Elephas maximus indicus: one gene and its partners. The protein of the gene in region 1 binds, or shares a complex with, the protein of each later gene. Links are inferred from orthologs where the notes say so. Each region holds a gene or a part of one and is shown in the gene's direction. Other genes may lie near its edges.

Region 1 (6,958 bases):
CAATGAGACCCAAGGCCCCCAGGCAAACAGAGACTAGAGATTACCTCCTCACAGCCAAGGGCAAGGTTAAATTTTACAGGACACATAGGTTGCCTGCTTGTCCTCACAGAATGGTATTTGGCTTCCCTCAGGGTGAGTGATCCAAGGAGCAGGGTGAAAGCCTTTATGACTGAGTCCTGGAAGTCACAACTGTCCATTCTGACATAGGCCATCTGTTAGAAATGAGTCGCTTGGACCTCCCTACACTCAAGGAGAGGGGAATGAGGCTCAACCCTTTCAGGGGAGGAGTATCAAAGAATTTGTGGGTGTATTTTAAAACCATCACATTTTTAAATGCTGGCAACCAGTTCAGATATAAAACATGTTGTGACCCAGCCTGGTCAAACAACACCTCTCAGGGTTGGAGTTAGTAGATAGGCCACTAATCTGTACCTTCTGTACTAATCTGGGAGCCCTGGTAGCACGGTGGTTAAGAGCTCAGCTGCTAACTGAAAGGTCAGCAGTTCGAATCACCAGCTGCCTCTTGGAAACCCCATGGGGCAGTTCTACTGTGTCCTATACGGTCGCTATGAGTTAGAATGGACTGGACGGCAACATGTGCACGCTTGACCATGTAATCTGGTCTTTAGATGAAAGAGGTGCTTGGTCAACCATGTTGCATGGAAATATGACAAATCTCACCATTTTGCTTTTAAGGAAAATAACGCTGGCGCTAATGCTGAGACCAAAAACCAAACCCATTGCTGTCAAGTCAATTCCGACTCATAGTGACTAAGAAGTAACATGTAATTTGTTCATTGTTGTGCCCCCTATGTAGAAAATTGAGTGTCAGATAAGGAAAATATCTCATTTGGTATTTTTGACTGGTGAATGAGTTAATAATGAAGTCTTTAAGGACAGCTTCTTAATGGTTTGCAAAGTCAACAAAGTTTGTGGAAATTGAATAAATGGAATAGCCTGGCCGTGTATCTGGTGAATGTTTTATTTGCTTAACCATTAGCCTTCAACATGAAATAGCATTAACATTTGAGTACGTTTATATATTTAAATCTCTGATTTTTACTAAACTGTAACGCTGCTATTTAGGATTACTCTTCCTGTGTTCAGGTAGAGTCGGCGTTGTGTCTCCCAGCGCAAACATGGGAGATTAGCTCTAGTGCACCTACCTAGAAATGGAAATCCAGGGCCACAGCTAAGGATACTTTCAGTTTTACTAGTTTCTGTTTTCCAAAGAGGCCGTAACAATTCGCACTCCCGCCAGCAGCATCTGAGTCTTCACTTGGCTTTTTCCTGAGGGTCCTATAGGGAACTTGGACTTGAGTTCCCAGCAGGCAGGTCCTCTGATGTGTTGTGTCCAATCTGCATCACTTGAGTTCCCAATATACTTACTTACAGGTGTGCTTAAAACTACATGCTAACTTCTTCTTGGTCATTTGGGTTCTCTTTGGCCAAGGAAGAGTCCTCATGGTGAAATCTTTTCTGGGGGAACTTGGCGAGTCCGATCTCTGTGACTAGCTATCTGTTCTTGCTGCCAGAAATGAATTGGGAAGGAGGTTCCAATACGTCAGTTAAAAAAATCTGTGCTTCTCTACACAGATGCCAAAACCTGACTTTAGACTCAGGAGACAAGGTTGGAGGACGCCATTCTGTCCACATCCTTACTAAAAGTGGGTGATGATAACAGCTAATGCTTGTTGAGCTTGCGGACCCTATGAGGTAGGCAACCCCATGGCATGTGAGTTCTGTCAGTGCACAATCTGGTCCGGACTGCTCATCACATTCTCCCTACAAGTGTCAGGAACCCAAAAACTTGTTGACTGCATCCAGGTTTTTAACTAGGATTAGAACATCTGCCAAGGTCCAAACACAGAATTTCCTCGTTCTGTTGGCTAGACATGACCACAAAGACTGACTGATCAGATGTGCTAAGACAAAAGTAGCTTGTGTTTCATCGTGGGAAAGTAACTATCAATCCTTGCTTCATTCACCCCTTCCTCTGCTGCTAACCCAAAGGTTGGAAATTTCAGTTTACCCAGAGGTGCCTCCATTGAAAGACCTGCCACTGAGAACCCTACGGAGCACAGTTCTACTCTGACATACTCGAGGTCCCCATGAGTTGGAATGGACTCCATGACAACTGGTATTGGTGCTGATGGAGGCCTGGGAGTAAGAAGATTGAACTCTGGAGTGAATGGGATGTAGACCTGGTTTTGGTAGGCCCTAGATTAGTTGTGGAAGAAACCCTGGTGGTACAGTGGTTAAGTGCTACAGCTGCTAACCAAAGGGTTGGCAGTTTGAATCCACCAGGTGCTCCTTGGAAACTCTGTGGGGCAGTTGTACTCTGTCCTATAGGGTCGCTATGAGTTGGAGTCAACTCGACGGCAATGGGTTAGATTAGGAGTAGGAGCTGTGGTGGTGCAGCGGTTAAGCACTCGGCTGCTCACCAAAAGGTTGGTGGTTGGAACCCAGTAGTCATTCTTCAGGAGAAAAATATGGCAGTGTGCTTCTATGAAGATTCAACAAACAAACAAAAAACCAAACCACTGCCGTGGAGTCGATTAAAACCCTATGGGGCAGTTCCACCCTGTCCTACAGGGTCGCCATGAGTGGGAATCAACTTGATGGCCATGGGTTTAGAGTTTTTTGTTTTTGTTTAGATTGGGAGTAAAGTCCCTCAGTGTCACAAGCAGTTTGTGACAAGCTATTAACCTAAAGGTTGGTGGTTCAAACCCACCCAGTGGCCCCTCAGAATTAAGGCCTGGCATTGGGCTTCCGGACACCCTCGTGACATACTGGTTAAGAGCTATGGCTGGTAACCAAAAGGTCGGCAGTTCAAATCCACCAGGCGCTCCTTGGAAACCCAATGGGGCAGTTCCATTCTGTCCTATAAGGTTGCCGAGTCAGAATCCATTCAGTGGCAATGGGTTTTTAATGAGCTTCCATAAGGAGCCCTGGTGGCACAATGGTTAAGCGCTCCACTGCTAACCTGAAGATTGGCAGTTAGAACCCCCCCACTGAGTGGCTCTGTAGGAGGAAGACCTGGCCATGTTCTCACATAAAGATTACCAGCCAAGAAAACCCTATGGGACAGTTCTACACTGTCACAAGGGGTCCCTATGAGTTAGAATCAACTATATGGCGTCTAAGAACAGTCGGCTTCCATAAAGATTACCAGCCAAGAAAACCCTATGGGACAGTTCTACTCTGTCACAAGGGGTCCCTATGAGTCAGAATCAACTATATGGCGTCTAAGAACAGTCGGCTTCCATAAAGATTAAAAACAAACAAAAAAACCAGCCAAGAAAACCCTATGGAGCGCTGAGAGCCCTATGAAGCCCAGTTCTGACATGACAGCGGATCGCCAGCAATCGGCACGGACCGGAAGGCAAGGGGCTTGGGTCCTTTTTGGTTTGGATTAGTAGTGGTTTAGGACTGGTTCGTTCATTCTCCAAGTGTTTGAGACCCTCCCTAAGCCCTGGGCACGCTGCGGGGAGCACGTGGTGACAGGAAAGGTCGGGGAGAGCATGTGGGAGACAAGGGAGGGATGGCTCGGAGCCCGGGACAAGCGGGGGCCTCCTGCACCATGGCGAACGCTCGCACAACTGGTACGCGTGGGTCGCTACGCCAAGGCCCCCAGCCCCCGGCACTGAGGGCCCGGTGCTCCGCGTGCGCCGGCCGCGCCCCGACTTTCCCGCCCAGGCCCGCAGCCCGTCCTCCGCCTCTGAGTCACGGCGGGAGCTGGGCGCGCCGGGAGCGCGTCGGCGCATGCGCCCGGAGTCCGCCGGGAACGGGACCGCGAGGGCCGGCGGGAGCGCGCGCGCCCACCCTGCGCGCCGCCAGCCCCGCCCCACAGGCCCGGCGGCTGCTACGGCCGCCCTCACCGCCTGCGTGCGTGCGCGCTCCCGTCGGGGCCGCGTGGGAGCGCGTCGCGTCGTTGCCCCGCCCTGAGCGCGCGCCGGCGTCGTCTGCGTCTCCGGGCATTTGAATTGCGCTTCCGCCATCTTTCCATCCCTCAGTCAGACGGGGCCCGGAGACGCTTCTCGAAGGTAGCGGCGGGCAGCGGGCGCTGGGGTGGAGAGGGCCGGCGGGCGGCCGGGGAGGGCCGGGGCCGTGGCGGAGCGGCGAGCGGAGGGCAGCGGAGGGCGGGAGGCGGCGGCCCTGAGGAGACGGTTAGCTCCGGGACGGCGGGCGGGCGGGCGGGCGGCCTCCTTGGCGCGCTTTCCTCCCCACAGCCTCGGGGCCGCCGTCCCTGCTCTCGTCCGGAGCTCCGAGCGGGCGGCGAGGCTCCGGGGCGGCCTCCGGGGGTGCGGGCTGCGCCTCGGCCTGCCCGGCGGCCCCGTGACCAGGCGCTCTCGGCCGCGCCCAGCCCTGGGCCCATCAGGCCCGGCCGGCGTCTCGGGCGTCGGGAAGGGCCGCCATGGCGCCCGTGCACCCCCGCCCTCCTCGGCCGCCCGCCCGCCCGCCCGCGGGATGAATGGGCCGCGGCCTTTGTGGCCGCGGCGGCACGTGGGGTGTCCAGGGTGGGCCGGCCATGTGGCGACCCGGCCGCGTCACGCCGTCCCCCTTCCTTTGCAGGACCATCACGATGGCTGCCCAAGGAGAACCCCAAGTCCAGTTTAAAGTACGTGGTGGCCCCTCTGGGCTGGTGGTGGCCCCTCTGGGCTGGTGCTGGCCGGGGGCGGGCAGGAGGGGCCGGGGCAGCGGCTGTTGTTGAGGGGATCCCTCGGTCCCTGCCAGCGCCTGCTGACCGGCCGCTTTGTGTGTGCTGACACCGCACGAGGTCCTTTAATTCTCTCTCTCCGTGACGGGGGAGGGGGGCTAGCCCTGGTTTGTGGGTGAGGAAACTCAGTAGGGCCGCCCGTACCGGGGGTTACATAATTCTTGGGAAAGACATGCTATTTCCGAGGAGTTGACCCCCATTTGGGTGGAAGGGGAGGACGTTATATGAAAACTGTCTTCGTGTGTGATTTACTCACAGCATTTAGATGTAACAGGGCCACGTAATAACTAAGTGTAAATATCAGTTAACTGAGTTAAAATACTGTCCAGGCACTTCTAACAACTCCGTGATTCCAGGCTTGTGAAATATATTTTGAGTTTGTTTCTTGAAAGAAAATTGTATCCCAACAGCTCGTATTGGTTGGTGATGGTGGTACTGGAAAAACTACATTTGTGAAACGTCATCTGACTGGTGAATTTGAGAAGAAGTATGTAGGTATGTGGGGGGAGAAAAGGGTCTGTGGACATTTTTATGAAGTGAATAATTCAGTGACTAATCTGAAATGTTTGTATTTCAGCCACCTTGGGTGTTGAGGTCCATCCCCTTGTGTTCCATACTAACAGAGGACCCATTAAATTCAACGTGTGGGATACAGCTGGTCAGGAGAAATTTGGGGGACTGAGAGATGGCTATTATATCCAAGGTAGGTGTCTCCTCTGTGACTTGAGTAGTTTTGGAAAGAATTTGTATTCTAGTGTCCAAAGTCCATTCCAGCATATACTTGGCTTAATTCTGGGTGTACTGGGGATTATATAATTACATTAAAAAAAGACATGCTGCCTACAGCAAGCTGACCATTGTTTTATAGGTGGAGGGGGAGGAAATACGAAAGTTGTCGTGTGTCATTTTATTTCATGCTTTGTCATGCTAGGTGTTATTTTGAAAAAGAAAACAAAATTATGATTTATACCGAGGCTCAAAATTTAAAAGCAGTAACAGTAAGCAACAGACAAGCTGTTGCTGCAACTTAAGTATTTGGAAATGTGGGTTCAGGTATATATTTTGGTGGTTATTAAGGATTATTTCTTGTTTGTTATGTTAAAACCACTTTGACCAGATACTAGGATCGGAGGAGCTAGGCTCTATATCTTACAAGTGTTGTATAAGACAACTAATTTCTCCTTTGTACCAGTTTTTACAGAATTTTTTCCAAAGTATTTAAGAACTGTAAAAGAAATAAATGGTCATTGTGGCACCAAACAAAACAAAGATGAATAAACAAAATACTAATTTTTCCTGAAATCTCACTTTCCTAATGCAGAGTTGTTTGAAAATGTCTACACCTTTTGCTCTGACCATGTGCAAATGAACACATAGGGTTTGTTTTTTAAGAAAGAAGTTATATCATGCTTGTAAATAGTCTGTAGTTTATTGCCTTTTTAACTATATTATGACCGTCCCTACAGGTCAATATATGGATTTATCTGAGGTTTTTGAAATAGAACTATACTATTTTCTAGTATACATTCAATAAATTTTATGAGGTTTTATTTTTTTTAATGAGGATTCCCAGGCTCCATGCTAGGCCCTTAATCTACTTCAGATACTTCCTGGGGAATGAGGCAGTGTTAATGAAGTATTTGGGAGGTATAGGAGAAGAAATTTATACAGTCATGTCTTTCAAGCTGTTTTAAAAAAATATAAAGGTGCCCAAAAGCAAGAAGAGAAGGCAGGAAGGGACAGGAACTGGATGAATGGACACAGGGAACCTGGAGTAGAAAGGGGGAGTGTGCTGTCACATTGTGGGGATTGCTACCGATGTCAAAAAACCAATAACGTGTATAAGTTCTTGAATGAGAAATTAACTTGGGCTGTAAACTTTCACCTAAAGCTCAATAAAATAAAGAAATAAATTTTAAACTATACTGTTATAGTCATTTAAGATTTTCAAAATTGAAAGAGCACTTGAAATAGAGGGCTGTAGATGACACAGAGCAGGCCTGAGATAACAGTCTCTCTGGTCCATGGCTGTTAGCATTTCTTATCTGTGTAGTAAACTCCTAGGTGTGTTCTAATCACTACAAGTTTTCCTTCCAGCCCAGTGTGCCATTATAATGTTTGATGTAACATCGAGAGTTACTTACAAGAACGTGCCTAACTGGCATAGGGATCTGGTTCGAGTATGTGAAAACATCCCCATTGTGTTGTGTGGCAACAAAGTGGACATCAAGGACAGGA
Region 2 (7,199 bases), on another chromosome or scaffold:
AGGATTGGAGGAAGACTCATTAACAACCTGCGATATACAGATAACACCTTGTTTGCTGAAAGTGAAGATGACTTGAAGCACTTACTGATGAAGATCAAAAACCATAGCCTTCAGTATGAATTGCACCTCAACATAAAGAAGACAAAAACCGTCATACAACTGGACCAATAAGCAACACCGTGATAAATGGGGAAAATACTGAAAAGTCTCTTCATGCCATCCTGGAGTCCTGCAAGTCTCTTCATGCCATCCTGGTTTCTGTCACAAGATGGATCTAAGCTTTATTCAGCTACCTCAGTTTTGCGTATTTTTTTCCTTGGGAGAGGAACATAGTTTAATCAGCAACTAAAAATGGATTACCTTGTTTGTCTTTAAAGGAACAATCATGGGACAGATTCCAGAGCAAGTAATTACGTTTCAAAGACTACAGTTATATTAAAACATTAGAAAATATATTCCCTCTACTTCAATACTAAAACACTAAAGAAAATATGTTTTCTCTACTTCAGAGATGGACATCATCTGTGGAGGGTCAGCGAAAAAGAGGAAGACCCTCTGCGAGATGGAATGACGCAGTGGCTATAACAACGAATTCAAGCTTAACGGTGATTATGAGGATGGTGCAGGACCAGGCAGCGTTTTGTTCTGTTATACGTGATGTCGCTGTGAGTCAGAACTAACTGGATGGCACCTAACAACAACAGATGGAATCAGGAGTTCCTGAGTGTTGCAAACAATTAACTCAGCTACCACCTGAGTGGCTGGTCGTTTGAGTCCACCCAGAGGCACTTTGGAAGAAAGGCCTCACGATCTAGTTCTATAAAATCAGCCATTGAAATCACTATGGAACGCAGTTCTTCTCTGAGACACATGGGGTCGCTGTGAGTCACGGTCGACTCCACAGCAGCTGGTTTGGTTTTGTTTAAGCTGGAATCACACAGGCGTCAGGCCTAACTGGGAGTGTCTCTAACGTCTCCGATGATGACTCATTTTAAGCAAACATCCGGTGAGCCTGACTGGAATCCAGTTCGAAGGAGGAAAACCGAAGCGCCTGTGGTGGGGATGCCCAGAGGGGATGCTGCCAGGTTGGCTACAGTACCCGTCCTCAGAGGCCCTCGAAGTCTGGGGAAGAAGCCCTCAAGAACATTGCTACCTCTGACCGTGAGAAAGCTAACTGCTGTGGGGGCCCAGAGGAGAGCAAGGCTAATTCTGGCTGGAGTGGCACAGGAAGGCCTCCTAGATGAGGTGCTGTTTGATATGGACCTTGCAGGCAGAGAAGGAGAGGGAGAGCAGGCAATGTGATGGGATGGAAGGGGACCTATGGGGCAGGTGCTACCTCTCAGTAGCTGGGTGAACCAGGACCCAAAGTCCCATTAGGTCTGGACTTCAGTTTCCTCACAGCTTTGCCTTTGAAGGGTGGTAATGATGCTCACTTCCTTCATGATTGTAAAGATTAAATTAGCTGCATGTGAAAGGGTGTGGCTCCTGATCTGTTTAACCCTGAATTGCCAGTAAAGCAAATGCGTGTGTGTGGGCAGGATTGTGAGAGGTAACATGGAAAAGAAGGCTGCCACAGATTAGCTCTCGTGTTAGTTTCAGGTCCCAGTTACTTTTTTCTTTCTCCTGTTCTATATTGGTTGCATTGTTTATAACAAACGCATGTTATCTATAAACCAAACCAAACCCATTGCCATCGAGTCGGTTCCAATTGATTACAAAAATTGATAGTGACCCTATAGTACAGGAGAGAACTGCCCCATAGGGTTTCCAAGGAGCAGTTGGTAGATTCGAACTGCTGACCTTTTGATTAGAAGCCTGAGTTCTTAACCACTGAGCCACCAGGGCCCCCATGTTATAATAATATAATGGTTAAAATCTATTTGTTTTTTTTTTTAAAAGCTATCCCAAAGCTGTTTGTGGTTAAATGATTTGAAACTTACAGAAAAGTTGCAAAAACATTCAAAGAACTCCCAGATACACTTCACCCAGATTCACTTGTTAATATTTTGTCACGTTTATCATTCTCTGTTCATACACCCTGAAAGAGACGGACTGATACAACTGCAGCAACGATGGGTTCAAGCATAACAAGGACCGTGAGCGTGGCGCGGGATTGGGTAGCGTTTCGTGCTGCAGTACATAGGGGCACTGAGTCAGAACTGACGTGATGGCACCTGACAACAACTGTTTATATGTATGTATTTTCTTTCTCTGAACCATTTAAGAGTAAGTTGTAGATATCATGTTCCTTTGCCCCTAATTAGTTCAGTAGATATTTCCCAAGAACACAGGCAGTCTCTTACTACAAAAACGGTGTGGCAGGGTGACTGGCCTCCTCTAACTCCACGAGGGGGAAGGAGAATGAAGATCAACAACCCAAGGCTGATTCCTGTGAGGCAGAGGTCATATATGCCCTCACCCTCTGACCATTTTACCAATTTTGACGTCAACCATTCCTCCCATGGCACTGTCTTACTTCTCTGCTGGATTTGATAATGCGTTGCAAGGGCCACACGGAACCCACTAACCATACAGTTACGGGGTTTATTAGGGAAGTAACAGGTTACAATTCAGAATCAGGTACTACTCAGGACATACTTCTTTGTTCAGGATAGCTCCTTGGCTATGCCCACAGGCAGGCCTCTCTCTGGCCCTCGGTCTCTACCCTGCTGGGGCAAGAGTTACAAAACTCTTTTAGCTCTGCTGATAAGTGTCCAGGGGCACCCCAATCTGCCAGTGAGCTTCCTGTCTGAAGGTGCTCCATTTTCTCAACCTGTGGGCTGGGAAGCCCACTGCACCATCTCCTGCCGGTTTCCTAGTTCTGCTGCCCCAGCCACCGCTTCTGTGCCACCGCTTCTCTGCCGCCATCTTCGGGTGTTACAGTGGTCTCTGTCTCCTGGATCTAGGAGGTTCTCTGTGCAAGAATCCTGGGTCCAAAGGACATGCTTTACTCCTGGCTCTTCTTTCTTGGTGGTGGTGAGAACCTGCCTTCCCACCTCTAAGAGGGCTCATTTTAAGCCTAGCAGGATGACAAAACTGGCCAATCCCCCCCTTAGGGTTTATTTGCATGGCCCCACCCCTACAAGGGTGCCCTGTGCCTTATTTACATTATTAGCAGGCTATCCAATCCCTTTGATGGGCTACAAGCATCTTATTTGTCTAGTTCCACTCAGTCATTTGGTGGGAGTTACAAAGACTATGGGTAGAAGGACCATATTAAGTAACTCACTGCACTGCACTTACATAACCTAGTACGATAATCAAAATTAGAAGACTTAACCCTGGTACAATAAAAAACTATTTAATATACAGTCAAATTTGCTGATTGTCTCAACATTGTCCTTTATAGCACCCCCCCTTCCAGCAACCAATCCAACCACTTATTGCATTTAGTTGTTGTGTCTTTGTAGTCTATGACCTGCAACAGTTTCTCATTTTTTATTTCTTTCCTGACACAGACATTTTTGGGAGAGTACAGAACAGTTATTCTGTAGCATGTCCCTCAGTTTTGGTTTGTCCGATGTTTCCTCATGATTAGATTCATTTTTTGTGCCGTTGACAGGATGGTGATGCTGCGTCTTCTCTGTGCATTACATCTGAGTCGCAAGAGGTCAGTTCGTCCTGTCTGATGTTAACGTGGACCCCTTGGTTAAGGTGGTGTCCGCAGTATCTCTCCTACAGAGATCGTATTTCCTTTTTTTACTTTTTAATAACTTGTGGCTATTTATGTGAAAGTCTTCGAATTTCCTTTCGATATTATGCGACAAAAAAGACGAGTCTTTTCTTTCAAGAAACGGATATCTATTTGTTGCTGAAAACATCCAGCAGCGTGCCTCTGGCAGCCCCAGCCTTTGTCAATAAAGTTATGAGAACAGGAGCCTTTCAGGAAAGGCGGAGAGGGGCCCGCCGCAAGGCATTAGGGGAATTGTAGTCTCTCTGGGAGTTCCCGGTTAAGCGCCGCCCTGTGGTCTCCGAGAGAATGAGCCAGAAGCCGAAATGGGAGGGCGAAGAGGGAGAGGCGGGGGGAGGGGGGGGCACTCTGGAATGCAATGAATCATGGGTGTGGTAGTTCATAGTGCCCGCTCCTGCCGCGCCTGCCTCCCCCGCGCAGGAGAACTAGACTACCCTACCCGATAGGCCACGCGCGCGGGGGATGGAGAAGCCGGCCTGGGCCTCGAACAAATCAAATCGAAGGAAAGAAACTGCCGGCTTTCAAAATCCTCCTCCTCCGCCATCATCCGCTGCCGTGTGGGGAGCAGGTGGTGTGGGAGACGTGAGTGGCTAGAAGCTGTGGGAGAGCGGACAGACGTGCGGGCTGGACATCGAGCCTCCAGGACTTAGAGACGGCGACCCCGACCTGACCTGACCCGGACCCTAAATCGCTCCCGGCCCTGCCGGGCTGAGGCGCGCGCTCGGGTCGCCCCACGCGGCGGCTCCGCCTGTTTACGGTAGGCTCGGGGCTCTTTTCCTTTCCCGTCACCTGCCTGGGATGGGAGAGGGGCGACCGGGCGACCTTGGACCTAGGCGAGGACGGTGTCCCCTCGGCCTCCTCCTTCATGCTGGCGACGGCCGAGCGCGGAGGTGAGGTGGGTGGGGTGGGGGGCGCTGGCCCCTTTCACAAAGGGGGAAACTGAGGTTCAGAGAGGACGCCCGACTCGCCCGACCGAGGCCGCCCAGCCCGCAGCTGCCAGCAGTGGCGTCGGTGGCGATCCCGGGTGGGGCTCCCGCGCTGCTCGCCTGTCACCGAAGGCCTGCTTTCACGCGTCGCTCCCCCGTCGCCGCGTCCCCATCGCCCACGGCCCGCGGAGGGCGCTGCAGCCCCCGGGGATCGGTGTGAGTCACGGCTGGCGCTTTTGGGTGAGCGATGCGTTTGCACCTGAGAAAGTCCCTGCGCTCCTGCCGAGAAGGGAGGCGGCTGTTTCCGTATTTACTGGTGGCCTTGGCTCTGCTGCTGATCCCTTGCTGACCTTGAACAAATCAATTCACCTCTGTGCTTCGATGTTTTTCGTCTTTAGAGTGGGTGGGAGGGGTCGACTGGACTGAGTGTGGGCCTCCTTCCAGCTGAGAAGATCTGTGTCCCCGTTCCACCTCGAAGCCCCACCACCAGGCTTCCAGCTTCAAATTGCCCCATCCCAGCCCTGGAAGAGGGGGTGGTGGTAATTTTTATTCAGTTTCATCCAGTCATTCTTCCAGCACTTTCTAAAGGCCAGGCCCTATACCGCAGATAGAGTGATCTGTCAAAACATACCTAAGGGCACATCATGTCCCTCATCACATCCTTCTGCTAGAAACTCCCAGTGGTTTTGTCACTTGGAGTAAGACCCACAGTCCTTAAATGGTCTTCGTGACTTGGGCCTCCTGCTCATACCTCCTTTCTCCCTCCCTCACTGCTCAGCCCCAAGGGGCTCCTCACAGTTCCCCTAACTCCCCTCTCCTTCCCCCACCAAGAGCCTTTGTGTTTGCTGTTCCCTTTACAGGAATCCCTTCCCCAGATACCTGCAGGGTGTAGTCCCTGTAGCCTTCAGATCTTATTGTCTCCTAATAATACTTTCCCTAACCGTTTTTGCTTTAACTTGCAAAAAACTCCTTACTCCCTTTCCTGTTTCTTCTTACCACTAACATACTAAATATCTTATTTAGAACATATGCTTTACAAGGGCAGGCTTTTTGTCTCTTACTGCCGTCCTCTTGGTACTTGGAACCATGTCCAACACAGAGTAAAAACAAAAAAACTGTTGCTGCAGAGTCAATTCCAACTCATGGTGACCCTGTAGGACAGAAGAAAACTGCCCCATAGGGCTCCCAAAACTGTAATCTTTACGGAAGCCAACTACCACATCCTTCACCTGTGGAGTGGCTTCGAACCAGGGGCTTCCAAAACTGTAATCTTTACGGAAGCCAACTACCACATCCTTCACCTGTGGAGTGGCTTCAAACCACTGCTGACCTTTTGGTTAGCAGCCAAGTGCTTAACCACTGCGCCACCAGGGCTCCTTTTAACACAGAGTAGTGATGCATAAACGTTTCTTGAATGAATGAGTGGATGCTTATATCCAGAATAAACCGAGCTTGCCGATAAAGACAAACAGACACAGACAAACCAGGGTAATGAGACTTCAGATCAGGAGAAGGGGGTGGGAAGCTGGCTGTTTGGAGGAGACCTGGGGGTGTGGGAGGATTGGGGAGCTCTCACAGCTGCGTCTTGAGGATGGCTGGATTGGGGGAGGAGTTCTGGGCAGGAGTCTCTCCATGGATACCTCTGAATTCTGAATCATTTATCAGCTCTCTTCCTTGGTCCCCCCTGATTACCTGCCATCTCTTCTTTGGGGAAGTGGAGTTGTCTTTTCTGCCGGTCTGCTGAGCTCCAGGCTGGAAACTCCTTTTTCTAGCAGTGCTGTCCCTGGCCTATTGTGATGGTGGCTGTTGTGACGTAGAGTGCTCTGGTCTCCTGGGAACCTCTGAGGCCTGGCCCCCATGGGTTGCCCAGGCTCCTAGCCAAGGTTGAGCCTAGGCGTGCAGTGGGCCTACCTTCGTGCCCCACCCCCAGAGTTATGCCAGCGTGGGTGGTGGGGCATTCCCTGGGATGGATGACCTGGATCCCATAGCCATCTGTGTCCTGTTTGAGGAATGGAACCCTCAAACAGACGGCAGCCAAGATGATGAGTCGGGTGTGTGCTTGGGGCAGACTCTCTGCAGCCATTGGTCTGGGACTCAGCTGCCATTCACTGGGGGCCCAGAACAGGGGCAGATCACATGGCTCTGCCAGGTGGCCCCAGCTGGGCAGTTGGGCAGAGGAGGACTTGTGGTGAGATGACAGCTCTTCAGAGGCTGAGATGTGATGTTTTTGTGTCTTTGCTGCCTCCTTCACTTTTCTAGAACTGCTGCTTCTCCTGTGCTGTTTTCATTTCTCCTGGTGGTTTAGCCTCCATAGCAGGGGGAGGTGGGGTCAGGTCTCTGAGACGGGTGATGTTCTATCCTGTCCCTTCAACCACCAGCCTCCGGAGACTCCTTTGTTAATGCTACTTGTGCTTTCTCAGTTTGCAGATCTCCAGGGGAGCCCACTGGCGTGGCCAGCATGGCCTCCGAAGACATTGCCAAGCTGGCAGAGACGCTGGCCAAAACCCAGGTGGCTGGGGGACAGCTGAGTTTCAAGGGCAAGAGCCTCAAACTCAACACTGCGGAAGATGGTGAGTGCCTTC
Region 3 (7,057 bases), on another chromosome or scaffold:
TAAGGGTGAATTAGAAATAAAGCTGTCCGTCTCCTACCTACCCTCCCCTGCAAAACCTGGGAACTACAAAGAAAACTGCCTGCATCTGACCTTGGTGCTAAGTAGAATGGGAAAAAAGCCTCCCCTAAGAACTTGCATCTACAAGCAGGCTCCCATCAGGTTTTGCAGTCCAAATTCACACTATTTTGGTAGAGTGAAAAACTTCAGACTGAGAACTTAGTTTGACATGGACATGGACATGGATTGGTGGTGGCACCAGGTGCCCAACAGAGGCTCTGTCTCCTTGGGATGCTCTTTCCTGAATCTGCGGGCCCTTCCCAGACTGTCATAGGCTCTAACACCTATACATTCTACTCATACCTTCTACAACTGGCTCTAAGCTATCCTGCACTGTCATCTCCTAAAGGCCCCCCTTGAATAGAGATTCCCAAGAAATGGCCCTTCCTGGGGCCTACTTGGAGCCCTGGTGGCACAGTGGTTAAGAGCTTGGCTGCTAACCAAAAGGCTAGCAGTTCGAATCTACCAGCCACTCCTCGGAAACCCTATGGGACAGTTCTACTCTGTCCTGTAGGGTCGCTATGAGTTAGAATTGACTTGATGGCAAGGGGTTTGGTTTTTTTTTTTGTTTTTTTTTTTTGTAGGGGCCTGCTGTGGAGCCCGGGTGGTGAAGTGGTTAAGCACTTGGCTGCTAACCAAAAGGTTGGTGGCTCAAACCCACCAGTTGCTCCTTGGGAGAAAAATGTGGCAATCTGCTCCCATAAAGATTACATACTTGGAAACCCTATGGAGCAGTTCTACTCTGCCCTATAGGGTCACTATGAGTCAGAATAGACTTGGTGGCAACAGATTTTTTTTGGTTGCACAATGGTGAAGTGCTCAGATGCTAACTGAAAGGTCCTCGATCCTAACCCACCAGCTGTTCCAAGGGCGAAAAGACCTGGTGATCTGTTCCTGTAAAGATATCAGCCTAGGAAATCCTATGGGGCGCTTCTACTCTACCTTACACAGTTCATGAGTCGAAATTGACTTGAGGGCACACAACAATAGGGCCTACTTTAGTCCATCTGCCTTAGGTGGTATTTGTGAAGCATGTTCAGGAACCACTTTGGTGATGCTTAGCTTCTTTATCTGCTGGGGGACTTCCGGGGTGAGAGGAAGGAGCCCTGGACTGGAAGTAGGAAGAAAACTCCTATTAACCAAGTTGTGGCCTCTGGACCAAGCCCTACTCGTCAATCACCTCAATTTGTCCTTTACTGGAAGTAGGATGCCACAACGGGTTTTGTTTTGTTTTGTTTTTTGGAGGAATTACTATGCTTTTTTTTTTTAATAGGAAAGTGAGTCTCAGAAGAAGCCGAGCAGTCATAGCTAGAAAGGGGCAGGGCCAGGTGTTTAACCCAGGCCTAAGTCCAGAATCTGTGCTCTTAAACTCCCATGCTGAAAGGTAACTATCCCTTTCTTCCCTCCCCCCACTTCCAACAGTAAAAGCAGCACCAGAGCCAGAGCGTTTTACATCCTCCCCCACCCAGGCACAGGTCTGGAATCACCCACTTTATTCTGGCTTCCTGTTTCCTCCTAAGGATTCCAGGTGGCACAGTAAAGAGCTTGGCTGCTAACCAAAAGATCGATGGTGCAGTTCTACTCTGTCCTAGAGGCTCGCTAAGAGCCAGAATCAAAGCAAGAGCAATGGGTTTGGTTTACTCCTACCAAAGGTCCCCTGCCTCTACTCTTTCCTCCTTCAATTCACCCTCCATTATGCAAACAGATTTTCTAAAATGCAAATCCAATCATCACTGCTCACTTTAAAACTCATCTTGGCTTCACATTGCATTTAGGTTAAAAACTACAGAAGTCTATTGCTTCCAACTTGTCTTTTCAACCTCATCTCTGTTACTAACCTCCACCCACCTCCTCACCCCACATATATATATACCCTGAAGCAGAACACAAATTACTAGCTGTTCTTCCAATACTTTCTCGATAAAGGTTTGTTGAATGACTAGCTTCTCCCTGGACTTTGCTTACCAGCATATGGAGAGGCCCTCCTCCCCAGACTCTATTCCTCAAGCTCAGATCAAGCTTCTCCTTCTCAGGAAGACTTCATCCACCTTCTCAGGCCTTAGGACAGTACAGAGGTCCTTTCCCTTTTAATTTTTTTTTTTTTCTTGCTGGGGTAGCTGGCAGGAGTTAACTAAGGAACAAACTGGAGTGGTGAAAGGCAGTATCACAGGGACTGCTGGACTCTGGACCGGGGCAAACCAGATCTGAGGCCCCACTCTGCCACCCTAGCTATGTGTCTAGGGACAAATATGCTTAAAAAAAAAAAAAAAAGTTGCCATGGAGTCGATTCCGACTCATTGAGCCTCCATGTTTTTCAGAGTAGACCTGTGCTCCATTGGGTTTCCAACAGCTGTAATTTTTTGGAAGTAGATCACCAGGCCTTTCTTCTGAGGTGCTTAGGTGGATTCAAACCACCAACCTTTTGGTTCACTTAATCATCTGAGCCACCCAGGGACTTCCAAGATTTGCTTAACCTTCCCCAAATCCTGTTTCTTATCTGAAAATGTTGAATGAAAACACCTACCTTAGAGTTGCTGAGAGAAATGGACCTACAATATGCAAAGTACTGTTCCTAGCAGTTAAAGGTGAGCTATTCTTATTCTGGAAACCCTGGTGGCATAGTGGTTAAGTGCTAAGGCTGCTAAGCAAAGGGTCGGCAGTTGGAATCTGCCAAGCGCTCCCTGGAAACTCTATGGGGCAGTTCTACTCTGTCCTACAGGGTCACTATGAGTCGGAATCGACTCGAGGGCACTGGGTTGGTTTTTTATTCTTATTCTAATTACTCATAGAGAGAAGTTGTTTCCAAGTTGTTGTTGTTAGGTTCTGTCTCCAACTCATAGCGACCCTAAGGACAACAGAATCAAACACTGCCCAGGCCTGCCCCATCCTCACAATTGTTGCTATGTTTGAGCTCATGCTGCAGCCACTGTGTCAATCCATCTCCTAGAGGGTCTTCCTCTTTTTGCTGACGCCCTACCAAGCATGATACCCTTCTCCAGGGACTGATCCCTCTGGATAACATGCCCAAAGTATGTGAGTCAAGTCTCACCGGCCTTCCTTCTACGGAGCATTCTGGCTGTGCTTCTTCCAAGACAGATTTGTTCCTTCAGACAATGTACTACTGCTATTCAAAAAGTTTTCACTTGCCATTTTTTTTAGAATTATGTCGCCAGGCCCTTCTTCCTAGTGTGTCTTAGTCTGGAAGCTCCACTGAAATCTGTCCACCACGGGTGACCCTGCTGGTATTTTAAATACCGGTGACATAGCCTCCAGCATCACAGCAACACGCAAGCCTCCAGAGTACGACAAACTCACAGACGAGTGGTGGTGTTTCCAAAAACCGTAGGGAATTCTCCGAGCACTGTCCATGGTATGTGGATTCCTGCTAGCTGTCTGGGTGGCCAAGCGAGACATCCTTTTTTTTTTTTTTTCCTGAGGCGCGCCAAGTCCCCTCACTTCTCTGGGTGGTGCTGACGCTTGCGCCCAGAGCGGAGCAACCAGAGTGAACTGGGTTCCTCGATCCTACAGCCCCGAGCTCCCACCTCCACCCACCGGGCCCTTGAGTCACAACCTCTTCGGGATCTGCTCCGCAGCGCCACCGACTGCCTGTCCGGAAGTGCCGGCAGTCAGCGGGAGGCCTGGGGCGGACCGGGACTCAGCGGATATTGGCCCACGTGCTCCCGGCCTCCGCCGCCAGGCACCGCCCTCCGGCTCGGCGCAACACGGACTACACTTCCCAGAGTGCACAGTTGCGGGGCCTTGGCTCGGCGGGGGCCTCGGGCGGCGAGCCGCTCCGTCGCCTGCTCGGGGTCGCGCAGACTGGCGCGAGGACAGGGCCAGGGACCCGGAATGAGTTTCCGCGCAGTTCCGCTGGACCGTGCCGGGCTGTGCCGGGTCGGGGTGGGCCAAGGCAGGCGGGGGGGGGGGGCTTGTGTTGGCGGGGCCGGGGACAGGCGCTCGGGGCACCCTGCGCTTGCCAAGGTCCCCGCCCCGTCCCGGCTGGACCAGCTCGCCTGTCAGTCACTGGGGCGGAGGCAGCGGCGGTAGAGGGGCCGGAGCTGGGCGGTGAGCAGATCGTGGGCCAGGCCGAGCGGAGGGGACCTGCCACAGACCCTCAACTCCACGGACCCTTCGTCCCAAGCTCTCAAAGCTGCACCCCCGCGCTTCCTTGGACTTCTCCGTAACCCGCAAAAGGCTCTCTCCCCCGTGATCTCCCCACCCTCGTGACCTCCTCGTAGGACCCGAGAGCACCCCCAGATGAGGGTGTTGTAGGTACAGGTCAACGACCCTGTGATCCCTCACGGGCCAGGGGCTCGGTTTCCCTCACAGACCTCCCCCATGACTGCCTCTCACAGATTCTGAGGATAGAGCCGTGACCTACCATTAGGACCTCCGCCTAATAGCTCCACTCAGACGGCTGCCTTCTCCTGGGAGTCCTCCTCAGGGGGTCTCCTCATATAAGCACCCCCTTTGATCTCTGGCAAGCACCCCACCTCCAGCCGAGGTGGGAAGGCCTCCGTAGCCATGCCTGCCTTGGGTCCCCCGTCACCCTACCACTCCCTGGGTACCCAAGCTGGGGTCTAGCAGGGCGTCAGCAGCCAAGGGGCTGGGGCAGGAGAAAGGTCAGGGTCTACCTCCCTACTGGGGAGGGAGCAAAGATGGAGCGGCGGGAGGAGCAGCCAGGGGCTGCAGGGGCTGGAGCAGCATCAGCCTTGGACTTCACTGTGGAGAACGTGGAGAAGGTATGAGGGCCCTGGGGTGGGCACTCCAGTGACAGAGCAGAAGTTCTGGGAACTGACATTGAAGCCCAAGCCTAGGCCTGGGCTGGATGCCTGCTGGGATGGTGCCCCAGAGCACCTGGCTTTTGCTGTCTCTCTTGGCAGGCAGGACAGCAGTTTTGCAGTCTCCTAATGGGCTATTTTTGTCTTTCCTTAGACACGGGTCCCCTGTGGAGAGATACTGTAGGGTCTTGGGATGGTCGCTTCAGGGAGCTGATGGCTTAGACCTCCAAGGCAGGCTGGCCACGCTCCAGCTCCATGGAAACTGCATGAGCAGTGCAGTAGGAAACCAGGAACCCAGCAAATGTGCAGCTTAGTTCCCAGGAACCATACAGGCGCTAGACCATCCTGGACCCTGACTTTGTTGCACCTGGGGCTCCGAAAATAATCTGGAATTAAAACAATCTGGGTTATGTTTTTGCTCTTCCTTGGTAAGGGTGCTTTGGGAGTGGCTGTCCCCTTTACTTTGTGCTATGTCGGAGGGGCCTGGCCCTGCTGGCAGCTTCACAGGACGCTTCCCTACTCACCTCCCCACATAACCCCTTGCCATGGGCCTCCCAGGCTGCCCTCCTGCTTAGTCCACCTTTTTTGGGGTTGCTTCTCTGGTTCTTTTCTGGGTTCTGTCTCCAGGGGCTTGGAATGCAGGAATGCATGCCTCCTGGGATGAGTGGGGAAATGCCTGGGGCCACCTTGCTGGAAGCAGAGGCTGGAGATATTCAGTACTTATTCTTGAACCCTGTTGCCATGCCAAACTGTGAGAATGCATCCCTTCTGCTTCTGTTCTCTGCCTGCCTCAGCATCCCGAGGAGCCAGACAACTGGCTGGCAGGGGTATAGATAGGGCTAAGCCTACTTGGGTGGAGCCTTCTTAGGGGTCAGTGTCTTGGCCTCACTCTCCCACCCCCTAGGGCTGGGCAGTGTTGGCATGGTGGCGCAAGGTTCCATGTGCTACCGGGGAGATAAGCCACTGTTTTCTTACTGCGTGAAGTCCCAGTGGAATTGGGGCCCTGAGGATTCTGCTAGTTGAGATCTAAAGGCTAGACGTTTTCCAGGGCTGCAGCTGTGGCCAAGGCTTCTCTGGACCGACTTGGACCCTCACATGTGCTCTCTGAGAGGTGTTCTCACTCTCCCCTCCAGTATATCTCTGCTTCAGGGCTGCCTGGCAAAGTCTAAGTCCTGCTCAGATTTCATACTGCCTTTGGTGCCAGCATCTGGAGTGACTTAGGGATGATCCTGGGGGAGCTGAAGGGAGCTGTTGGAGCTGATGGGAGCAGCTGTGCCTGGGAGGGTCAGAGCCCTTGAGGCTGCGCCATGCTTTTCTCAGGCTTGGCTTTTTCCCCACGGAGCCATTCCTTCCACCTGGACCTTGCCCTTTACCTCAAGTGCCTCTCCTTTGGGGATCTCAGCCTCCTTTTTTCCTGCTTTCCTGGGTTCCCTCTTTGAACTCATACGTTTTGCTTCAAGAAGAGAGTATGGTAGAGCATGGGCAAGGTTCAGGCTCTCAAGATATCAGAGGACCCTGGGCCCAGGAAACACTGCCGAGCCCTGAGCTCTCCCTCCTGCCCAGCCCCCCAGTCAGGGAGGGGGGCAGTCTTGCAGGACCAAATCATGCCCTCTGTTCTGGGCTCTGGCACGATCCAGAGTGGCCAGCATCTGCTCAGTCCTGTGCTGTCCTGCAGGCACTGCACCAGCTCTACTATGACCCCAACATTGAGAACAAGAACCTGGCTCAGAAGTGGCTGATGCAGGCCCAGGTCTCCCCACAGGCCTGGCACTTCAGCTGGCAGCTACTGCAGCCCGACAAGGTGCCTGAGATCCAGTACTTTGGGGCCAGTGCCCTGCACATCAAAATCTCTCGCTACTGGAGTGACATCCCCACTGACCAGTACGAAAGCCTAAAGGCACAGCTCTTTACCCAGATCACCCACTTTGCCAGTGGCTCCAAGATTGTGCTGACTCGTCTCTGTGTGGCACTGGCCTCGCTGGCTCTCAGCATGATGCCTGACGCTTGGCCATGTGCTGTGGCAGATATGGTACGGCTCTTCCAGGCTGAGGACTCACCAGTGGATGGCCAGGGCCGCTGCCTGGCCCTGCTAGAGCTGCTGACAGTGCTGCCCGAGGAGTTCCAGACCAGTCGCCTGCCCCAATACCGCAAAGGGCTGGTGCGGGCCAGCCTGGCGGTGGAGTGTGGGGCTGTCTTTCCATTACTGGAGCAGCTGTTAC
Region 4 (7,835 bases), on another chromosome or scaffold:
TTTTAAACCATTAGGGAAGTAAAACAGTGCCAAGGGTAGCAACTGTTATAGGTTATAATGGCTCTGAGCTGCTCCTGAAACGCAATATCAAAATCTGTTTTCTTTTCAAAGAGACAAGATGGCTGACCAAGGGGAACTTTTTCAGACATTGTTTACCACAAAACAGGTTTGAAACACCAGTCCCTAGCCTCGTAGACATTATTTCCAACTCTTCTATTCCCTGTTAAACAAACTTTCCTTCTTACTTTGTGAGGTCAGCTTTCCCACGGGACTCATGAACTTGTACCAGAAGAAGATCTGGACATAACTTCTTAGCATCATCTGCCCACATGCTTCTAGCAACTCCGAAAGCACGAGCTTCATAACTTACTGCAATTATCCTAAGGTTAGAAAAAAAGGAAGAACAGAAAAATATGATTCCATTAGGACAAGCAAAGACAATTAGAAACTTAACAACATAAACAGGCTATAAACCTATAACAGTACAAACTTTTTGGCCATAGATGCCACCATTCAATCATAAACACAACAGTTCAGAGATCTCAAAAATAAGACCTAGCATATATCCCTACAGATTGAAAGAGTAATTGATGGTTATAACAATAACAATGATACATACCCACCACCCTTCCATGATCTGTACTGTGCAACTGCACAAGGTTTATTCCTCAAATGAGGATTCTGCCGCTGCTCCACTTGAACAAAAAAACAGTCCATGTCCACTAAAGCAACTACCCGATCCTGTCCAGGGTAGGTGGTAGCCATTTTTCTGGAAAACAACATTTCATGGACAATTAGAAACGATACCTATTGGAATGGATTCTTAAATACAAAAGTACAAGCAACACCAACAACAAAAACATAAACTGGACTTTACTGAAGTTAAAAACTTTTATGCATCAAAGGCCAATATCAAGAAAGTGGAAAGACGACCTACAGTACAGGAGAAAATATTTGGAAATCATACAAAAGAACAAACAACCCAGTCAAAACACGGGCAAAGGACTTGAATAGACATTTTTCCAAAGAAGACAAATGACCAATAAACACATGATAAGATGCTCAACATCATTGGTCATTAAGGAGATCCAAATCAAAACCAGGAAATGAGGTACCACTTCACACCCACTAGGATTGTTATTACTTAAAAAATAACAAATGTTGGCAAGGATATGGAGAAATTGGAACCCTCATCCATTGCTGGTGGGAACGTAAAATGGTGCAGCTGCTGTAGAAAATAGACTGGTGGCTCTTCAATCAGTTAAACATAAAATTATATGGCCTAAGCCAGACACAGCCAGACACGAAAGGACATATATTGCATGATCCCATTTATGTGAAATATCTAGAATAAACAAATGCATAAAGACAGAAAATAGATTAGTGGATACCATGGGCTGGGAAGATAGGGGAATAGGGACTTATTGCTTAATGGGTACAGAGTTTCTGTTTGGGGTGATGAAAAAGTTTTGGAAATGAAGAGTGATGGTGGTTGTATAACTCTGTGAGTGTGATTACAGCCACTGGATTGTATACTTGAAAACGATTAAAATGGCAAATTTTATATTGTGTATATTTTACCACAAAAAAAAAAAAAGGATACCTAATCCAATGTGCCATTCTTCCATCACAGAGTCACCATGAGTACACTGGGACCTAACGAGAGTGAAACAAGCATTTTCTATACTACTGACAGAATAAATTGGTTCAGTTTTAGGAAGATAATAAGTATAAAGGCCTAAAAATACCTACCTCCCCAAAGAAATGAACACTTCACAAAAGAAAATATACAAACATCCAATAAGCCCATGAAAATGGGTTCAAATCATTAATCTGTTGCCGTCGCGTCAATTCCAACTCAGAGTGACCCCATAGGACAGAGGAGAACTGCCCCGTAGGGTTTCCAGGGGCGGCTGGTGGATTAAAACTACCAACCTTTGGTTAGCAGCTGAGCTCTTAACAACTGTGCCACCAGGGCTCCCGACATCATTAGTCATGGGCCAATGCAAATTAAAACCACAATATACATCAATAGGGGAATAGAGCCAACAGCTAATCTAGCTGATAGACAGAACTTAAGTATAAGTTCAGGGAAAAGAGAAGCAGAAAATGATATACAACATCTTAACATTTATGTAAATACTTTAACGTCTTATTTTGAAATAATTTTAAACTTACTGAAAAGTGACAAAAATAGCAGGGTTTCCATAAACATAGTTTCCCCTAATGTTAACATTTTACACAGCACAATTATCAAAACTAAAAAAAAAGAACATTATTGGTATAATATTATAAATTCAACTACATGCTTTATTTGGATTTTACAAGTTTTTCCACAAATGTCCTTTTTCTGATCCAAGACTCCATCTAGGATCCTGCACAGCATTTAGTCATCATGTCTCCTTAGTTTCTTCCAATCCATATACTTTCTCAGTCAGTCTTTGTTTTTCATGACCTTTACACTTTTGAAGAGTACCGGTCAGTTATTTGGAGAAGGTCTCAATAAGATTTTGTCTGATCTTTTCCCACATTTATAATGAGGTTATGCATTTTTTGGCAAGCTTTTCTAAGTGTATCGAACCAGGAGTCTTGCCTTCCAGTAGGAGATCTGGGTTCAGTCTCCAGCTGGTGCACCTCAAGTGTCATTGGAGGCTTGCGTATTTCTATGATGCTGAACAGGTTTCAGTGGAGCTTCCAAACTAAGACACACTAGAAAGAAAGGCCTGGTGACCTACTTCTGGAAAATCAGCCCCTGAAAACCCTATGAATCACAATGGTCTGATCCAATTGTGCATGGGGTTTCCATGAGTCAGGACCACTTGTAGGCAGCTAACAACAAGGTAGTGTTCCCTGGATTTGTCACTGAAAAGTTACTATTTTTCCTTTTGTAACTAATGATCATCTTGAAGGAGATACTTTGAGACTATGATAATATCCTACTTCTCCTCAAACTTTCACCACTAATTTAACCACTCATCAGTGGATCTTGCTGTAATAATCATTATTGTAGTGTTCTAATGGTGATTTTCTACCCATTTATGTAAACTTTGAACACAAACAATACTGCACACTGTTCGCAGATACACACATAAACAAAGAAATGGATGGTAGTTGGAAGAATACACCCTACATATTTGAGGGAGGGTACAGACTAATGTTATCATCTAACATTGTTACTGATCTGGAAGAAGGAATAAAAGTAAAGCAGTGGCTCCCAAACTTTGTTGCACATTGGAATCATTTGGGAACTTTTAAATAATACCGATGTCTGGTTTCCACCCACAGAGATTCTAATTTAATTGGTATGGGGTGCTTCCTGGGCATTGTGATTTTTAAAAACTCCCCTGGGCATTTCTAATATGCAGCAGAATTTGAAAACCACTAACTTAAAGTAAATAAGATACCTATGGAAACAAACACCAGTAACTGATGATTTAAATTTGAGAAACAGGCTATACAGTTGAGCAAGCACCCAACTGTATTCTTAAAAAAGCCTGTAAAAAATTGACATACACCTTGAAAAAAAAGTGTCACACAATTACAAAGCTGGAACAAGTGGAAAGAGCAACAAAGAATGAAGAAAATCAGAGTATTCAAGGCATTAATTCCTTATAAATTCCTATTGACCACTCATCTAAAACAGGCAGAATGTGATACTTTAAACATGTGTAAGTTAAAACCACAGCATGTGAGAAATTTCTTTATTTTGTATTGGCTTTTATGTAGTACTGGAACAGATAATGCCTGAGTAAAAATAGTAAATGCATTGTAACAAAAACAGCACAGCCCAAAGTATCATATTAGATACAAATATCAGAACTGGAGTGTGCATAGGAAGCAGTGATTTAAGCCCAGTGAACATTTTAGTGAGTACAGAAACAGATATGCAGGCTTTAACAGATAATGAAGATGTTGAGGTGTTCAGTTTATGTATTTTGGTGGAGAAAGCAAGAGCTTTTTAAGGATGGAAAATGAAACACACTCTACCAAAACCATGCTTTGGGAACGAGAATTACGCTACTTTGAAATCGTATATATAGCAAATTGTCAATACCACACGAACCTTCAATAATTGTAATTATTCATCTTTAAATATCTAGAGTCATTCCAATATGTACAAAACAAGTTTGGTGCCTATGAAATGATGACATATCCAGGAAAGTAAGTACAAGTGAAGAGGGAGATTTAAGAGTTATAGCGAAAAATATTTTTTCTAAAAGAAAAATCCCCTTAGAGGACAATACCAGGGCCTTAACTACGTTTCTATTTTCACGTAACTTAGGCCCCCCCCACCCAAAAAAATTGGGGGGGGGGCTAATTTTGTTACCAGCCTCTGCTGTATCACAAAACCAATAGCCAAGGCAGCATGAAAAGTCTAAAAACATTGATACTGCACAATTCTAAACTCTCTTACCAGTGTGATAAACACCTGGCAGAACTGTCAACGGCGGAAGCCGCAGTTGCTGGGTTCGGAGTCCACTGGAAGGGAGATGAAAGGGTCTTGAATATCTTGTCGCCTTTCCAGGACCAGTCCAGTTGTTCGAGAGAGATCTATTCCCAGTGTCGACAGAGAAATGGGCCAAGGGTCGCGAAGGATCCTTGCCCGGGCAGGCGCCCGCACAGCCAGGAGTGTGGTTCAGCCAAGATCTAGGCGCTAAGCCGCAAGCCCTTCTGACAGATGATCAGACTGCGCGCACTCCGATAAGGACCGTTGACGCGCCTGCGCACCGCGACCCTTCCGTCGCCCGCTCCGCCCACCGCAGTAAACGTCACAAGGCTGCCGCCACTTCCGTGGGCGCGTGCGCACTGGCGGCTCGGGCGCGTGCGCAGCGCCGGCACCTTCCTGGCTCGAGCTTCAGCAGCTCACGCTCCTCCCCCCGTTCCCCATCCCCCAGCCCAGCGCGGCCCGGTACCAGCTTGTGGTGCCGCCAAGGGAGCCGTCCGTGCCTCGTGCTCTCAGGACGGCCGCGTTGCGCGCTGGCGGCGCGTGGCGCTAGCCATGGAGATGGATCAAGTGAACGCGCTGTGCGAGCAGCTGGTGAAAGCGGTGACGGTCATGATGGACCCCAGCTCCACCCAGCGCTACCGGCTGGAAGCCCTCAAGGTAGCCGGGGTCCTGGCGCCCCCGGGCCTGGTCCGAGACCCTCCCCTGACCCCGACTCCCCCGGCCCCGGTCCCCTGGACCTCCTTCCCCAACCCTTGGGGGGGCCTTCCCTGGCGGCGGTCCACGCCTCTCCCTCCCCCGCCTTCACTGCTCGCCGCGCTTGCCCTTCGTCCCTCCGTTTTCCTCACGCAGGCTGCGCTCCAAATCCCGCATCTCTTCGCCTTCCGGTGGCGCACGTGTTGATCCCGCCCCCAACACCAATCTCTTTCTTTAGAGTTTTCCCTGCACTAAACGTTTCGCTACTGATACACTCTCCTGATCCATCCTAACCAAGCTCCAGTCCACCTAGTACACCTTTACTTACATCCATACACCTCTCGCTGACCCCTCTTCTGTGTCTTGGGCATTTCTGGGCTAGTTCTTACGCGCCCCACGTTTTTTAGTGTGTGATAGTCTTGAGCAAAGATGAACTTCTACCGCTTACTTTGCATTTTAACAAGGGCACTTGGGTTTCCTGAAAGTAGTTTTCTTGAGTCCCGGATGCTTTGGTCCTGGTACTGACTCATGTGTTACAATTCCGGAATCCTAGTACAAATGGGGATGTTATTAGAAAAAGAGCTTATACCCCTATCAAACAATGTTTGTGAGCTCTGAGAAATGGCTGCTTAGAAAAAATATTTGTGCTGTATATATTTTAAGTGTGCAATTTCATAAAATAGCGCCAGTTGGAGGAAACTTTACAGTAGATGGATGTATGCGCCAGGGTTTGAAATAAAAAACAACTGGCTTCTATTAGTCTGTTTTTTGTTATGGAATATTTAAAACAGACATGAAAAGTAGAGATAATACTGCAGTGACTCCTGGGTATACTCATCACCTAAATTCTGTACTTTTAAGTTCTAAATACAGCAGGATTTGTTGACGTATAACAAATCCTAGAAATTGTCATTTCACTTTTATGTACTGCAGGGGTATATCGTTAACAATTTTTTTTTACTCCTTTAGGTCATTTTTTTTTTTTTTAATATTAGTAAGGCCGTACCATGGAAAATCTGGAACCATCAGAGTGAAAGAAATGTTTATCATTTCTTTACTCATACAGTAGTAATCTAGATTTGATCAGATTAGAATTTCTTAGAACGAAGCTTATTTAGTCTCCACACTGTCTTAACGCCCAAGAGAAACACTAACTTTTTATTTTTCAGTTTTGTGAAGAGTTTAAAGAAAAGTGCCCTATTTGTGTCCCGTGTGGCCTGAGGCTGGCTGAGAAAACACAAATTGCCATCGTCAGGCATTTTGGCCTTCAGATCCTGGAACACGTTGTCAAGTAAGGCATTTTACGAGTTTACCACTGAAGTATGTAAGAGAGCAAATCTTTATTTCTTGGATAACTCAGAGGTGTTCTTTAAAAACTTGTTGCCGTGGAGTGGATTCCAACTCATAGCCACCCTATAGGACAAAGCAGAACTGCCCCACAGGGTTTTCAGTGCTGTAAATCTTTATGGAAGCAGACTGCCACATCTTTCTTCCTTGGACTGGCTGCTAACGTTTCAGTTAGTAGTCACGTGCCTCCAGGGCTCCCTAGATGTTCTTTAAGTAAGCAGAATAGAGCATTCTTCAAGGGAAAAAGGAATAATACCCAGAATTATCAGATCCTCCAGGGAATTCTCATTCAAGACTGAACCTTTCTGCTCTTCAATTTCTTCATCCTGTAAAGTGCCTGCTACATACTAAGCATTCAAAAAATAATAGCTGCTAGTCACTCACCCAGCATTTATTGAATATCTATATATGCCGGCAGATCTCAAAGCCTCTTTAGGATTATACAGTGTATAAAACCCAAACCAAACCCAGTGCCATTGAGTCGATTCTGACTCATAGCGACCCTATAGGACAGAGTAGAGCTGTCCCATAGAGTTTCCAAGGAGCACCTGGCAGATTCGAACTGCCGACCCTGTGGTTAGCAGCTATAGCCCTTAACCACTACACCACCAGGGTTTCCATACTGCGTATAGATAAATAAATTTGTGATTGGACATTACTTTTGATTTTCTTTTCTTTTACGTTTTGAGTGTGTACCGTCTCTGAATGGCACTTCCAAAGCAATATTATATGTGAATAACTGAAAACTCCTCCAATGCCTATCACAGAAATCCATTTTTAAGACTTAGCCTCAGGTTTTCTGGAATTGTGCTGTTATTACCTTGTAAACCAGCGTAATAAGGTAGTTGGTGTTATCAGATTGTGTTTTCTGGAAAAAACGACTATATTGTAGTTGTCCCAGATGTATATTTGTTTTCAGTCTATTAATAAAATCATGGGGGAAGCTGATGTGTGCATAAATCCTATGTGAATTCCGGTTAATGGAGTGCTGTATATATAAACCCCTGGAATTTTTCTGTTTCTAGCATTTTGGTTAAATGTGGACTATTTTTGCCCATTCTTTGAAGGGTACAAAATCAAAAGTATAATTTTCTAATGAAATTGCCAACATAATCTAACACAGGAATCAAAACTAGTTTCTTCTGAAGAGAAGCCTTCTAATGGGTTCTGTTTCTGACTTTCTCTTTTTTGGTGGCCAGGTTTCGATGGAACAGCATGTCTCGATTGGAGAAAGTATACCTGAAGAACAGTGTCATGGAGCTGATTGCAAATGTAAGGAATGGTTGGTTGGAAGACTTGTGTTTCCAAGGTAGTTTAGACAAAACATGACTTCTTCAATTTAACATTT

Evidence for each region.
Region 2: the proteins of RAN (region 1) and RANGAP1 are in contact, whole or in part, in a cryo-EM structure (PDB 9B62), measured with the Homo sapiens proteins. The link is inferred for Elephas maximus indicus from reciprocal best matches to the Homo sapiens genes RAN and RANGAP1. Residues at the interface, in NP_006316.1 of Homo sapiens: Asp18, Gly20, Tyr39, Val40, Ala41, Thr42, Leu43, Gly44, Val45, Glu46, Glu70, Lys71, Leu75, Arg76, Tyr79, Asp91, Thr93, Ser94, Arg95, Val96, Thr97, Asn100, Lys123, Asp128, Arg129, Lys130, Lys132, Lys134; in NP_001265580.1 of Homo sapiens: Ser29, Gly58, Asn59, Thr60, Asp86, Thr89, Gly90, Arg91, Leu92, Arg93, Ile96, Asp121, Ala123, Phe124, Gly125, Asp127, Asn151, Cys152, Gly153, Met154, Gly155, Arg189, Asn190, Arg191, Gln217, Asn244, Asp245, Asn246, Thr247, Asp273.
Region 3: the proteins of RAN (region 1) and IPO13 are in contact, whole or in part, in a crystal structure (PDB 3ZJY), measured with the Homo sapiens proteins. The link is inferred for Elephas maximus indicus from reciprocal best matches to the Homo sapiens genes RAN and IPO13. Residues at the interface, in NP_006316.1 of Homo sapiens: Lys37, Lys38, Tyr39, Leu43, Gly44, Val45, Val47, Pro49, Trp64, Gly74, Leu75, Arg76, Asp77, Gly78, Tyr79, Ile81, Gln82, Asn103, Arg106, Asp107, Arg110, Val111, Tyr147, Trp163, Arg166; in NP_055467.3 of Homo sapiens: Leu33, Tyr34, Tyr35, Ile39, Lys42, Gln46, Leu49, Met50, Gln53, Glu73, Tyr76, Phe77, Ser80, His83, Ile84, Ile118, Thr121, Arg122, Val125, Val172, Glu175, Glu176, Thr179, Ser414, Asp415, Arg784, Asp785, Pro787, Asp788, Pro829.
Region 4: RAN (region 1) and XPO5 share a complex: the UniProt entries of both Homo sapiens proteins name them as parts of the nuclear export receptor complex. The link is inferred for Elephas maximus indicus from reciprocal best matches to the Homo sapiens genes RAN and XPO5.

What each region holds. Positions count from the first base shown.
Region 1 is NC_064840.1:1,475,093-1,482,050, reverse strand, and holds the start of RAN (GTP-binding nuclear protein Ran), read left to right. Parts: upstream 1-3,952; 5' UTR 3,953-4,046; intron 4,047-4,575; 5' UTR 4,576-4,585; coding exon 4,586-4,621; intron 4,622-5,130; coding exon 5,131-5,215; intron 5,216-5,297; coding exon 5,298-5,423; intron 5,424-6,817; coding exon 6,818-6,958. UniProt on the Homo sapiens protein: GTPase involved in nucleocytoplasmic transport, participating both to the import and the export from the nucleus of proteins and RNAs. Switches between a cytoplasmic GDP- and a nuclear GTP-bound state by nucleotide exchange and GTP hydrolysis.
Region 2 is NC_064822.1:185,454,441-185,461,639, reverse strand, and holds the start of RANGAP1 (ran GTPase-activating protein 1), read left to right. Parts: upstream 1-4,198; 5' UTR 4,199-4,448; intron 4,449-7,037; 5' UTR 7,038-7,075; coding exon 7,076-7,187; intron 7,188-7,199. UniProt on the Homo sapiens protein: GTPase activator for RAN. Converts cytoplasmic GTP-bound RAN to GDP-bound RAN, which is essential for RAN-mediated nuclear import and export. Mediates dissociation of cargo from nuclear export complexes containing XPO1, RAN and RANBP2 after nuclear export.
Region 3 is NC_064821.1:86,205,786-86,212,842, forward strand, and holds the start of IPO13 (importin-13), read left to right. Parts: upstream 1-4,038; 5' UTR 4,039-4,715; coding exon 4,716-4,799; intron 4,800-6,513; coding exon 6,514-7,057. UniProt on the Homo sapiens protein: Functions in nuclear protein import as nuclear transport receptor. Serves as receptor for nuclear localization signals (NLS) in cargo substrates.
Region 4 is NC_064819.1:108,009,023-108,016,857, reverse strand, and holds the start of XPO5 (exportin-5), read left to right. Parts: upstream 1-4,821; 5' UTR 4,822-4,999; coding exon 5,000-5,104; intron 5,105-5,468; exon of another isoform or gene 5,469-5,558; intron 5,559-6,309; coding exon 6,310-6,431; intron 6,432-7,686; coding exon 7,687-7,759; exon of another isoform or gene 7,760-7,766; coding exon of another isoform or gene 7,767-7,796; intron 7,797-7,835. Other genes in the region: POLH (DNA polymerase eta), read right to left, coding at 246-380, 620-765. UniProt on the Homo sapiens protein: Mediates the nuclear export of proteins bearing a double-stranded RNA binding domain (dsRBD) and double-stranded RNAs (cargos). XPO5 in the nucleus binds cooperatively to the RNA and to the GTPase Ran in its active GTP-bound form.